2 linked regions of the Caenorhabditis elegans genome follow. The protein of the gene in region 1 purifies or fractionates together with the protein of each later gene. This does not show direct contact. Each region holds a gene or a part of one and is shown on either strand. Other genes may lie near its edges.

What was found.
Region 2: the proteins of R05A10.8 (region 1) and F33H2.2 fractionate together in Caenorhabditis elegans (co-fractionation; one large-scale study listed by BioGRID). This does not show direct contact.

The regions. Positions count from the first base shown.
Region 1 is NC_003282.8:14,154,486-14,160,219, forward strand, and holds R05A10.8 (Methyltransferase FkbM domain-containing protein), read right to left. Parts: upstream 3,702-5,734; 5' UTR 3,564-3,701; coding exon 3,458-3,563; intron 3,325-3,457; coding exon 3,069-3,324; intron 3,028-3,068; coding exon 2,934-3,027; intron 2,323-2,933; exon of another isoform or gene 2,301-2,322; intron 2,130-2,300; coding exon 1,929-2,129; intron 1,872-1,928; coding exon 1,810-1,871; intron 909-1,809; coding exon 785-908; 3' UTR 641-784; downstream 1-640.
Region 2 is NC_003279.8:15,021,021-15,028,323, forward strand, and holds F33H2.2 (Protein FAM91A1), read left to right. Parts: upstream 1-2,147; 5' UTR 2,148-2,199; coding exon 2,200-2,350; intron 2,351-2,396; coding exon 2,397-2,548; intron 2,549-2,594; coding exon 2,595-2,847; intron 2,848-2,897; coding exon 2,898-3,151; intron 3,152-3,202; coding exon 3,203-3,375; intron 3,376-3,421; coding exon 3,422-3,578; intron 3,579-3,667; coding exon 3,668-4,053; intron 4,054-4,868; coding exon 4,869-5,594; intron 5,595-6,463; coding exon 6,464-6,662; 3' UTR 6,663-6,741; downstream 6,742-7,303. Other genes in the region: dog-1 (Helicase ATP-binding domain-containing protein), read right to left, coding at 1-66, 239-533, 680-757, 804-906, 952-1,044, 1,207-1,333, 1,381-1,960; set-10 (MYND-type domain-containing protein), read right to left, coding at 6,752-6,938, 7,200-7,303.

The sequences.
Region 1 (5,734 bases):
TTACTTTCCTTCGAATTCCATAAAAATGCTGCAACGCCAGAAACAAGTTGGATCTGGAAATGTATTCATTCCTAGAACAAGTTACTCCATGAAAGTTTTGAAATGGTAACAATTATAAAAATGTCTCATTGTGAAAACCGAGCTTCATTGCTCACTTAAAATTACAGGTGGGTGCTTTGTGGTTTAACTGAAGAATGCATGAATCCTCCTGGAGCTCGACAAGAGTGCGTGTTTGGACCAGACGCTGATAAAGACTATGCTGAATGCTTCAGGTCAGTATGGATTTTTTGAACATCTTTCAAATACTCCAACAGACAATGTTCAGATATGACCAATCAATATTGAATCTTCTTCTGCTTAACGATTTTCAGACAACTGAACATTTCTTTTCGCAAAATTTGAAAAATTCTTCCATTCGATTACACTAGAAACGTTATCATTGATTGTTTTTGAATAACATGTTTGATATACTATAAAGATTAATAACATTATTTAATTAAATTAATAATGTTTTCAAAAGACGGTTTGGTGCCAAGTCCAGCCTCAAATCTCAAACTGTCCATAAAACTTGTTTCATACTTTCTGAAAAGAAATAGTAAAAAATTTGTTGCGTTTTACAGATTTTTTTTAAATTCTTAATATTGATATTTATTCATCAGGCAAAAAATTATAAAGATATTACATTTATAACATTATACATATGTCACATAAAATAAAGTGTTCAATAAATAAGTGAAACAAGAAAAACCCAGTAAGAGTTGTTCTCGAATGAATTGGTATTTTATCACAGAATTCGTCCCAGTAAAACTGCTCCATAGTGTATCATACAATTTTCGTTAATCAAGCTATATTCGTGACAAGTTGAGCAAAACGGGTTTGATTCAGTATTGAATATTCGAAATCCGTACCTGTAATTAGTGGTTTAAAAATCTGAAGTTAAAGTGAAGATATTAATAATATAGAGTCGAACTGATCAGTTCAACTTTTTAAGTCAAATTTTTCTGTAAATAATTTTAAGAAATTTATATACAGGGTGCGGCACAATTATGGTAACACGACCTGTTGTTAGAAATTCTTGTATATCTCGAATATCGTTTGTTCAAAAAATATTTGGGTAGTTTTTCTGAACACTAAAGTTGTTTCTCTATTTTATAAACTAAAATGAATGTCAATATACTGAATCATGAAGTTCTGGCAGGCCTTCAAACAACTGAATCAACTTTATCAAAACATCATTTTGGCGCCTCACACTTTTTGAGTTTCATTTGAATATACCGGCGTTCTTTAAGTATGTTGATCGCTAAAATTGTATTTTTCTAAAAGATTGAACATTTCTCTATCATTATTAACAACGCAAAAATGCATGTCCCATTGCGGATCAAACCGATCACAAAATCGCATTTTTGACAACCAACTTTATTCCTCTGACTTTACGAGCTTTATCACTAGGTATCCTACACCTATTTTAATTTTTTGGGAAAATTTATATTTGTCAGCAATTTCAAGCTTCGGTGGTTTCAAAAACTATACTTTACAGTTACAGTCACACCAAATATTTATGAAACAGCCAAATTAATGTTTTCTCGCCACTACTTGCGCACCAACGTCGGCCGTCTTCCCAGATTCGGGGAGGTCTGTGAAAGCGCAGAGAAAAATACATTTAAAGTTTAAACTGTTATCGTATTCAAAGATATCTGAAAATGCAAATTATCAAGGTAGACGTGTCTACCATTTTTATCGCGACCGTTACGCTTCTGGTTTTGTGTTACCATAACTGTAGTCCAAAGAAAACATCGAGAAAAATCAAACCTTGCCATGATCTGAAGCATATCCAAGTGTTTCAGGGGTGTGCCATGAACCTCTATGAAGATCTTTGAAAAAAAACTTATTGGTTATTAATACATAGTCTACTAAAGTAAATTTGTTACCTGGCACACAAAAAAATCTTTAATTAGTGGTTCCAAACCCGTAAGCTCGCCTTCTTCGATATCAATTTTTAGGAGTTCCACTTCATGCTTTCCTGCCTTTTCAAGCATATACGGAATTGTTAGCTCATCTGGAATCTTTCCAGTAAACAATTTCCCGTTTATTTTCCGATATGATTCTTGAGTTTGTTGGTTTTGAGGGTCCTGAAAAAATTTGGTGATAATGTAAAATTGGTGAGACAAAAATGTGTCCCTTTTATTAGAATTCAAAAAGTTCCAAAACTTTTAAATTTTGAAAATAATTTTTGATTTTTCAACAACTTCAGGACGTCGTAACTTAGCTCAACCGTCTCCGAAAATGTCCAATTTTTTGAGGGCTGTCATGTTTTGGGTTGAACTTCGCGTAAATATCGCGTAAATAATTGATGAAATACTGGAAAAGTATATATTTTTCCTTGTTCAAACAGTACCCAGTGCAGTTTTCTACAAAACATAGGTCACTTTTCAAAGTTCTTGGATATTCGAAATTTAGTCTTGCCGCTTCTAATAGTCTTGCAGTCTCTATTAGCATGCAAGACAGGGGTGTGCGGCAAATCTCAAAATTTGTCGAGCTCGGCAAATCCTGGCAAATCTAGTTTTCCAATATTTTCCGAGCACGGCAATTTCGGCAAATTTGCCGAGCTCGACAATTTTGGTAAATGGAGCACCAAAACTACTGAATTCTTAACACTCATCTGGTTTCTGAATAAGTTCCGTGTAGTGTCTGTTTAAACATCAAAATAATTTATTTCTTACTAAATGATTGGCGAAAAAATCAACAGTTTTGGGCAAAATTATACTGTCAAATTTTTGACGTGTGCGGCAAATTTCGAAATTTGCCGAGTTCGGCAAACAGCAAATTCGGCAAATTTGCCGCACACCACTGATGCAAGACTAATAGAGGAAATACAGTAAATCTGATATATTCAAAAAACATCATTTAGTGAACCGTTAGCATCTTAATATTACCTTGTCGGCTCCCAGTATCAAACAACGGCCATCAGTGACATTCTGAATATGCAGGTCAAAATTTATTTGATTTTTCAGACCAAGTGACACAATTCTGAAAGTACAAGTTTGAATGAAATCCACGAAGTAACTTACGTGCAATTCTTCTTGCCAGCCTTTTTGGGGTTGCAAACGTATTTTCCTCCATCTTTAAATCCTCCAATTTTTTCCTTCGTCAGGCACAGTGCCTCTATTTTTACTTTTTCGTAGAATTCCCCATTATCATTATTTTTTGAAGCTTTGTACAGTTCTCTTCTGTACTGTCCTTCGTCTCTTCGGTACTTGAAACGGAGTTCGTGGATTGCGTTGGCATTATAAATATTGAAAACTTCAGCCCCGCATTCATTTTGACCTGAAAGCAAACTGACTTGCAAAACCCTAAGTTTCTAAAAAATATTTCTTGAACTTTTTCGAAACATTTTCAAGACTTATCAACAAAAAAGAATTCCGCATTTTGGTGTTTTTTTTTTTGAAATGAAACTCACTATTCTTGGCAATTATGAAAAATGTGACAACGTTCAGGGAAAGTAAGATGAAAAGGAATTTTACGACCAGAAACTGGTGGATGTTGCAAGGCTCTGGGCTGCCCATCTGGACAATTCGATATTTTCTTAAATTAATCTCCGAGCGTTCAAAAAAGAATTAAATTACTGTTTGAAATAATGTCAGAGTCATACGACTTTTGGCAAAACCGTGCAAATTTTCTATAAGAGACATTTTTGTTGGACTCATCAAATTGACAGAAGAGTACATGTTTTAACGAAGTGCTTATAAATGAATTTCTTTGTGAATGTCCCCGCCCATGTTTTTTGTCATATCGGTAAACTTTTTTTTAGTAAACTTGACCTATTTCAATATACCTAAAATAAAATATTACTATTAATTGGATGTGTTCAAGATTTAAATGTCAGATAACTGAATATTTTCCAAGGTCAAAACTGAAGGATACGCTTGTTTCTCGTGATCGCTTGTTGATCGCACGCTTGTTTCTTGTGAAAAAATTAAATTAATGTTTGAAATAATGTCAGAGTCATACGGCTTCTGGCAAAACCGTGCAAATTTTCTATATAGAGACATTTTTGTTGGACTCATCAAATTGAGAGAAGAGTACATGAGATTTTATAGATCTTTTTTTTTCGCAAGATACAAGAAACAAGAAATCTTGCATAAAATATTGCAAGAAAAAGCACAAGAAATGTAAGAACATTCAAGAAATTTCAATAAATGGCAAGCCGTTTAATTTTTATCAAATGTTGTGATATAGTTTAAAGTAGGCGAGTAGACAATTCATTAAACCTACTAATCCACTCCTGGAACAAAATATCAAGAGAAGTGCAAGAAATATTTTAAATCTTCAGGTTTTTTCGACAAAAATTAGTAAAGTGTATGGAATTTTATAAAAATATGGAAATTTTGTATTGGATTTTGGACAAATAATGTTTAGGCAGCTGAAAAATGTTTATTATTGTTAAAAGATTGGACATGAAAAACTGATAAATCTTAAATATTTTGAAATTGCAATATTTTCATAATTTTCGATGAAATTTTGTTCCAGGAGTGGATTAGTAGGTTTAATGAATTGTCTACTCGCCTACTTTAAACTATATCACAACATTTGATAAAAATTAAACGGCTTGCCATTTATTGAAATTTCTTGAATGTTCTTACATTTCTTGTGCTTTTTCTTGCAATATTTTATGCAATACTAATAGGGAGTGCAAGGCTATTAGGGAGTGCAATACTAATTTTCTGAACATTTTTTCTGACTTTGAGCTTACTGGGTTTTTTCGAAAAAAGCTCGAATCTTATGTGAAAATTTAGAAAATTTGATTTTAGTTGTAGCATATAAGTTCAAAAACTTCAATCTCGTAAAAATTTTGTGAAAAACTGTTGCAAAATAGGCAAAAAATGCTGTTGAAATCCTGAAATCAGCGATACGGGTTCGCAATAAAAAAAAGTAAGCGCAAGATTATTAGGGAGTGCAATACTAATTTTCAGAAGGTCTCCGAGGGGCAATACTAATAGGGAGGCCATATTAATAGAAGATATACGGTATTATCCATACTTCATTTGAAAAAAAGATAATTATTGTATTTCAAAACATAGTGTTACAGGTGGATCTTGTGCAGCTCAACCGAAAATTGCATGAATGCCTCCTAGAGCTCGACAAAAGTGCGATTTTGGACCAGATATAAAGAAAGATTATGCTGACTGCTTCAGGTAGTCGTTATTAAACAAATTTTTAAACTCAAACTAATAGTAATTTTTCCTATGCTCCCAATCAGATACGCTCAATCCGTATTAAATCTTCTTCCACTCAACGATTTTCAAACTGCTAAGCATTTTTTTTCTCTCAGAGTCTCTCAGAGTCAGGCAAATTCATCCACTGAAATTTGTCTTGGAATCTCAAGTATTGCAATCGATGCATAAAATGAATACAATAAAACAGTTTCTTTTAGCTGGTTAGCCAAATGGGATTTGGGCGCATCCTCTGGTAGATTAAGTTTGGATTTCATTAAAATCTCCAACTGCATAAAACTCATTAATTCAATATAAACTAAAATAAAATAAATAAATAAATTAATTTTTTTTGAACATTTATTATTTTGATCATCACGGGTTCGACTCTGCAGCAATGATGGAAAATACTCAAAAAGTTAACAATTATTGGAAATCTGGCAATTTTGCAAAATAATTTGAAACGGGGCTAGTTTATACAATTTTATCAAAATCTTAAAAATTAACGTATTTTTTCTTTAAAT
Region 2 (7,303 bases), on another chromosome or scaffold:
GATCTGGAATGTGGAGAAGCTTCTCTTCGATGCCGGTTTTATCCAATTCCGTGTCAACTGCTTTTCCTGTAATTTGAATTTTAGGAAAATTTCCTCACATTTCGGCAGTTTAGTTTGTTTTTTTGTATGTTTCACTCAAAATTCTAAACTATCGAAGAAACTCCGACGAGACAAAATTTGTTAATTCATTATAGCTATTATGTTACATTCTCTTTTTTTCCAGTTAAATCTCACAAACTTTTAATTCTCAGCGACAATATCGAATCATCGAGCTCTTTCTCGGTGAACGAGAAGCTTGCCGCTTCTCTGCACGTGTCTTCGATGTTATGAGCTTCATCCAAAATGACAATCGAGTTTCTTATCTGAACATCTGACGAATTTCGAATCAATGGGTCCACCAGATACGAAAATGGACAGAAAATGATGTCAGCGTCTTGGGTGAGAATTCGGTTTGTGCTGAAGTAGGGACACAGCTGAGGATATGATATGGCCAACGTTTCGACAATTTTTTCCATATCGAATACCACTGTTCCCTGCAAAAATTGATATTGCCCGTTTCCTGAAGCTACTTTTATAATTTTCAATATGGTTAGGTTTTTTTTAAAATTTAGAATAAAATTTTTGATGTAATCTTTAGTTTCCAAATTCAGTTTTTTTAATAAATGAAAAAAAAACGAACATTTCGCTCTAAATGATCCCTTAACGGTAAAGCTTTCTCAAATCGTGGTTTCATAGCACTTTTGAATGAACAACCAATCTGAAATTTTTTTGTTTTAATAATTAAAAAAAAATCGAATTCATACCGAATGTGCACTGTTCACTTCTTTACAGTATTGTGAGATGTCTGCGTGTTTACGAGCGGCCGGATTGATGCAAGATTGTTCTCTGCTTGCGAGAATTGTGTGTCTGAATACAAAATGAGAAGATTTACACTAGGAAATTTGAATTTACTTCAGAATTTTTGCGTATGGAAGACGGGAGAACTCTTTAACGACTTGAGCAATTTGCTTGTGGGTTCGGGTGCCGTAGTAGATTCGGACGCGACTGAAAAATTAGAATTACAGAATATTGTTTGTTATGTTTCCTGGTCTCGCAACGAACCAAATATTTTGGAAGCTGTATCTGTATTGGAAGATCTATTTATTTTTTTTTTTCGCTATTTTTTGCAAAAAAGCAAATTATATATATATATATATCAAATCTTACGGAAGACACGTGCATTTCGTCTCAACGGGCTCCGGTTTTTTTACCGGCTCCAGCTCTTCTTTCAATGTGACGGGCGGTGTTTCTCCTGGTGTATGAGGCGTGAAATCGTGCTCCCATTGTGCCTCGACTAAATAAAAACATTTATGATAAACTCCACTGAAAATAAAATCCTACAAAGTTTATCGTTTTTCACTGGCACAGGCTCAATGAATTCCTCTTCTTCCGGTGGCTCTTCATATACTTTAGATTCTAGCGGTATTCCAATATCGTTAGTGAACACCACCTGTGTTTTTCCTGAAAATCCATGGATTTCACATTTTTCCTTTGATTCTCGCTTCTCATCGATATACTGCTTGAGCCATGCACACGTAGATGCCAGCAGAGCCATAGTTTTGCCACTTCCCGTCGGCGACTCGCCAAGCACATTTTGACTATTTTTCAGCGCCGTCAGAATTCTCACGATCATTAGTTTTTGAGTCGAGTAGAGGCTCAATCCACGTGGCACGCGTACCGGTACACCGAGCATCATGAGCTGCTCATACTCGTCGTTTTTGATCTGAACCCGCTTTCGTTTTCCTTTTGCCGGATTTTTAATCATCTCCCCGGCAATTTCATGGTGTAACGGCTTTTTATCATCGGGTTCTGTTGATGTGGACGGCTGCTCCTCTTTCACAACTTGAAATGCCGATCGGGTATTCGATTTTCCTTTGTTTTTGTTTGCGAACATTCTCCAAAATGCATCGCTTGAGGACATAATTACCTGCAAATGGTATTTTTCTATAAATCGCAATAACGAAAACTTTGAAAAACATTAAATTCAAATTATTTTATTTGGAACCAAAAAACAAATTTTCACCGCGTACGCAATGTGTCGTCACGGTGTTTGCACACATTACCTTATTTGCAGATCTGCAGAGCTCCGCCACGCATATCTTTTTTGCTCAAATTCAGTAGAATTTTAAAATATTTTCCACTCGAAATCTCTGAAGAGGCATGGAAATCGACGACTGTATTCGCGATAATATTCCCTGGGCGAATCTATCTCCAGATATCAAGGTTATACTGGGAAATTCGTCGAAAGAATACGAAAAGAGAGTTTTGGAGTACTCGATTCAAAATCAGCTTCGATATAAGGGGAATTTGAGTAAGTTTTTCAACTTTGAATCTTGATTTCGAACATTTCATTGCAGTACGGCACATGAAAAAGAGCGAGGAAGCGTACTATGAGCAGCTTCTACGATTTTCCGAGTCACACTTGATGCTGTACCCTTATCACTTATCAGACATCACCGTCACCGAGATGCGGCTCTCCCCATTCAGTTATTATGCGAATATTCTTACCGTATGTCTGAAAAATAGTTGATTTTTCAGCAGGATTTAATTTTCAGGAGATGCTAAACACCGAAAAGTCGTACGATTCTCTTCCAAACTTCACAGCCGCCGACGCAGTGCGATTACTTGGGATAGGAAGAAATCAATACATTGAGCTAATGAACCAAACTCGTTCAAATCGGAAATTTCTACGTCGTAGCAAGTCGGCGAGGGAGCTTTTGCCACAAAAACCAACAAAGATGATTGTCGAGTCGTGGTGGAGAACGAATGTCGGTTCGATTCTAGAAAGTGACGTGAAAACACTGAATGGTGCGATTTGTTTTAGTAAATCTTTTTAAAACAAAATTTAAATTATTTAGAAGAAGAGAAACAAGTGATAGATCGCCTCCTCGACACCAACGTGGCAATTCCGGCGGGGCTTCTAAAATATTCTGTTGTGACGTCATTGTATGATCGAGGACTGATATATTTCGATGTTCCTGTTTACGATAACGATTATATCTATGTGGCACCTCTAGATGGATTTGTGATGAATCGGGTGCTAGGAGACTATTTCGAGACTCTCCTCTATAAAATTTTCGTAGCAATTGACGATCAAACAACTGTTTTGGAGGTTTAATAGACTAATTTTCTCATATTAAACACAAAGTTTTCCACATTTTAGATGTCGCAAATCCTACACATCGATCTTCAGCTCGTTAAAAACGCGATTTCCGTGTTCTGCAGGCTAGGATTCGCCAGAAAACGTGTTACCGGCGGAGAGAACCTGACAATCCACACCTCCTGGACGTCAAATTCCACTGTAACTACACCAATGTCACCGATTTCTCCTATGTCGTGAGTGGGAGAAATGTTTGAAAAATTCTTAAATCCTAAGTTACAGAAGTTTGATCACTAGCACATCGGACGAGCTCAACGAGTTGACTAAAACACTGCTACGTGGCGATGACGATGAGACAGACGACGCGTTGTCGCCGGTATCGGAGGATTCAGCTCTTCGAGCTTCTTCGCCAAATCCTTCATTAAATAATTCTGTGGAAGTTAGTAATAGACCGGTTAATACAATGAGAAAATCTCAAAATCTAACCATTTCTGTAGAAAAGTATTAATCTGAAACTTTGATTTTCAGTCATTCCAATCCCTTTCAACATCCCAAACGGCTTCCGACCTATCTGGATCTTCTGGAACTGTTAATAGAGCTGCATTCATCTTCGATTCAACACTTACCGCATTTCTGATGATGGGAAATCTGTCGGCTTCGCTGAAAGGCCATGCAGTAGCACTTTTCGAAGTGGGAAAACTTGCTGACGAGCAAATGAAGGAATTTTTGGAGCAACTAGAGTCTGTAAATCAGTTTGCGGAAGGAGATGCACAGCGATACTCAATGCATGCAACTGCTCTACTGGATTCATTGAAGAGTTTAAGACAAGAACGTGAAGCTGATCTGATTAGAGGAGAAAGTTTGTATACACTTGATGAAAAAAGCAGACAGAGGGTTTTGCAGAAAAGTTATGGGTGAGTTATTATAGAGAGAAAAAAGTGTAACCGAAAAATTTCACACACAACCTCAGCCCTCGATTCTTGGGTGAAATTGAGTTTTCTTAAAAACCATTGGTAATTACAATTTCAAAAAAAAATCTAATTCGCAATTATCTGTATTTAATTTCAAAATTCGTCATACGCTTTTAATTTTTTTAAAGTTCAATTTGCATTTTACAAAAACTTTTTGGCAGGTTTCCAAATTTTGTTGGCAGAGTTTCAAAACTTTTCGGAAATTTTCAAAAATTTTTCTGCAATTTTCCAAACCTTTTTGGCAGATTTTCAAAACTTTTTGGCTATTTTCCGAAACTTTTCGGCAATTTTCCAGAACTTTTTGGCAATTTTCCAAAACGTTTTGGTAGATTTTCAAACTTTTTGGCAATTTTCCAAAACTTTTTGGCAATTTTTCAAAACTTTTCGGCAATTATCCAAAATTTTATGGCAATTTTCCAAAACTTTTTGGCAGGTTGCCAAAACTTTTTGTCTTTAAATTTAAGAGATTGATGAAAATAAATAAATAAATCAAAATCCTCGAACCGAAAAAAGAAGCTGACGGTTAAAAAAACGTTATATTATTTAAAATTCGAATTATTTTCATTAAACGGTTAGATGAAAATGCAAGATACCCTCTTGCATTTTCTTCATTCTATAATGAACAGTTCAGAAACAATGTCTTTTATGAACAAATAAAAAGTTGCAGATTTTCCGTTTTTTTTGCCAATTTTGATAAAATCAATCGTGATCAAAAATCCCCCGACATAAAAAAACGTCGAAATTGTTTTCTTTTCCAGAATCCTAGTTGCAATGGCTCCACTTTCAATCGAAGCGTGTGCAATTCCCGTTCAATCGGTTCCTCTAATCGGTCCACCAAACGCTGAAACCTGCTCCCCGTGGTTCCGTCTCTCAATCTATTCGGCGTGTTCTAGTGGCCCTCCAAGTGTATTTCTTCCACACGGAACTCGTCTAACAACTCTTCCACGTGTACTACAAAGCTTCCAACATCATCGGTTCCTCGTATCAAGTACCAAGCATGAACCACATATTATGACAGCTCAAAATGCACTTTTTGCATTGAATGATATGTTGGTTTATTCATCGATTTTTGTTCAATCAGTACCTCTTGACAGTGAAGATTGTGATAAAATGATCCATGTACCATTTCCATTCGAAGATTTGGAGTGTGAAACTGCATTCTGCAATCATCCAGCGATCAGAAAGCTCCGAGAGCAGCTATCACTAGATTTTACAGCAGGATATGTAATTTTACTTAAAAAATCTGGAAAATCTATCACGACATCAGGCTCAGACATCAGTGGAAGAACAAAAGCGGAGAGCAATATTATGCAGGATGTCTCATTACCAAAAGATGGTGGTTTACTCAAAAAACTGCTGCCAGGCACTTCTTTCGACGATTTTCTACTATTGGATTGTGTTTTTGGAGTACCGTTGTTCAATTCGGTGCTTAACGAGACGATTTGCAAAAGGATTTTGGGGCGCGGCATTTTGGAACAACAGAAGTTCGTTTTTTTCAACAGCCTCTATGAAAATGTACGAAAACAAAAAATTATTCGAAAAAATTATTTTGAATTTTGAAAAGAGTATTATCTTTGCCAAGAATACTTTTCATAATCTTAAAATATCAAAAATAATTTTTTAGAAGTTTCGAAAGTTTAACGTGGCAAATTAATTGCGTAAAAAATTGTGTTTCACAAGAAAAAAGAAAAAGAAAATTGTTCATGTAAAAACCAATTAAGTAAGTAAGTATAAAAACTTTTTGGCAATTTACCAACACTTTCTGGCAGGTTACCAACACTTTGGCAGGTTACCAAAATTTTTTGTATATTCACCAAAACTTTTTCCAATTTACCAAAACTTTTTCCAATTTACCAAAACTTTTGCCAATTTACCAACACTTTTTGTCAGATTAGCAACACTTTTTTAAAAATTAGTGATTACTTGAACTATTTATTCACTTTATTCGCAAAAAAACTAAGAAGCGCAGCAGATTACGAAAAAAAAATTTATCCACGAAATCTGGTATAAATTGAATAAATAGTTCAAGTGTCACTAATACACTATATTCAACAACAAAATAACTATTTTCGATTACGTGACACTTTCTCCGGCAACAAAACGGACTTGTTTTACCAGAGCATTGGGAATTTACCGTATATTTTCTATTAGTGCGGCATCTGCATCCAATAAATTCCACTGTATGCAGCACTGATAAAGAATATACGATATTCGTAATACAAAAAACCACTTAAAGAACCTGGAAGTTCATGTGCAAAACTTTTTATAGCCGTCCACGTGGCAAGATATTTTAGAGAACTTAAAATAAAATGTGCGTGCCCTAATTTTTTTCGTAAATTAGTTTTATTTCCAGCCGCTCGAACATCCAAAACTCGAACAAACAAGTGGTTGGAATGATAAACGAGTTAATTGACACAGCGAACAACGGGCTCATCAAAGGATCACAATTGTTTGTCGAAGGAACCGATCAACAGCGGAACGCACAAATCGTGCCGCCCGTTCGAGCCATTTTCTTTGATTCTAGTCAGCTGATTTCTTATGGAACTATTTGAATTGTGATATATATATTGTATGCTTATGTTAATTAAATTAAACTATTTATCAGAGGATTAAAAATAAATGTGATTTTACAAGAACATTATCAAAGATTTCTCAAATAATTAGTGATTGAATGATGTGTTCCATGGCTAATAATGCTTGATTCGATGGCAAGTTTGATTAGTTTTACTAATTTTACAGATCTTTTCGATGGTGAAATACGAGATATACATTTACATCCAATATACAAACGACGGGTCACTTCTGGAGCGCCGATCCCAAGACGAGTTCTGAAAATATATTAAGTAATGCTTTAAATTCATCTATTCCCGTTTCCGGAAATTATAAATTTTCTAGAAACTCAAAAATTAGATCTTTCAATATTTCGGTTTTTTCCAGAAATAAAATGTTTCAATTTTGTGGAAAATGTTCGTATTTTCATGATTTTAGAAAAAAAAATTCTTCAGAAAACTAGAATCAGATTCGTCTTAAATGTTATTTACGTATACTTTTTCTACATCAACTGAGCTAGGATATTAAGATAAACTTACATAAAATGCTCACTGCCTCTTCCAGCGATCAAGTCCAAATCCAAGTCATTCACATTTTCCAGTGAACTGCTACAATAAGCAATCTGCTCGTCGAGTTGCAAAAT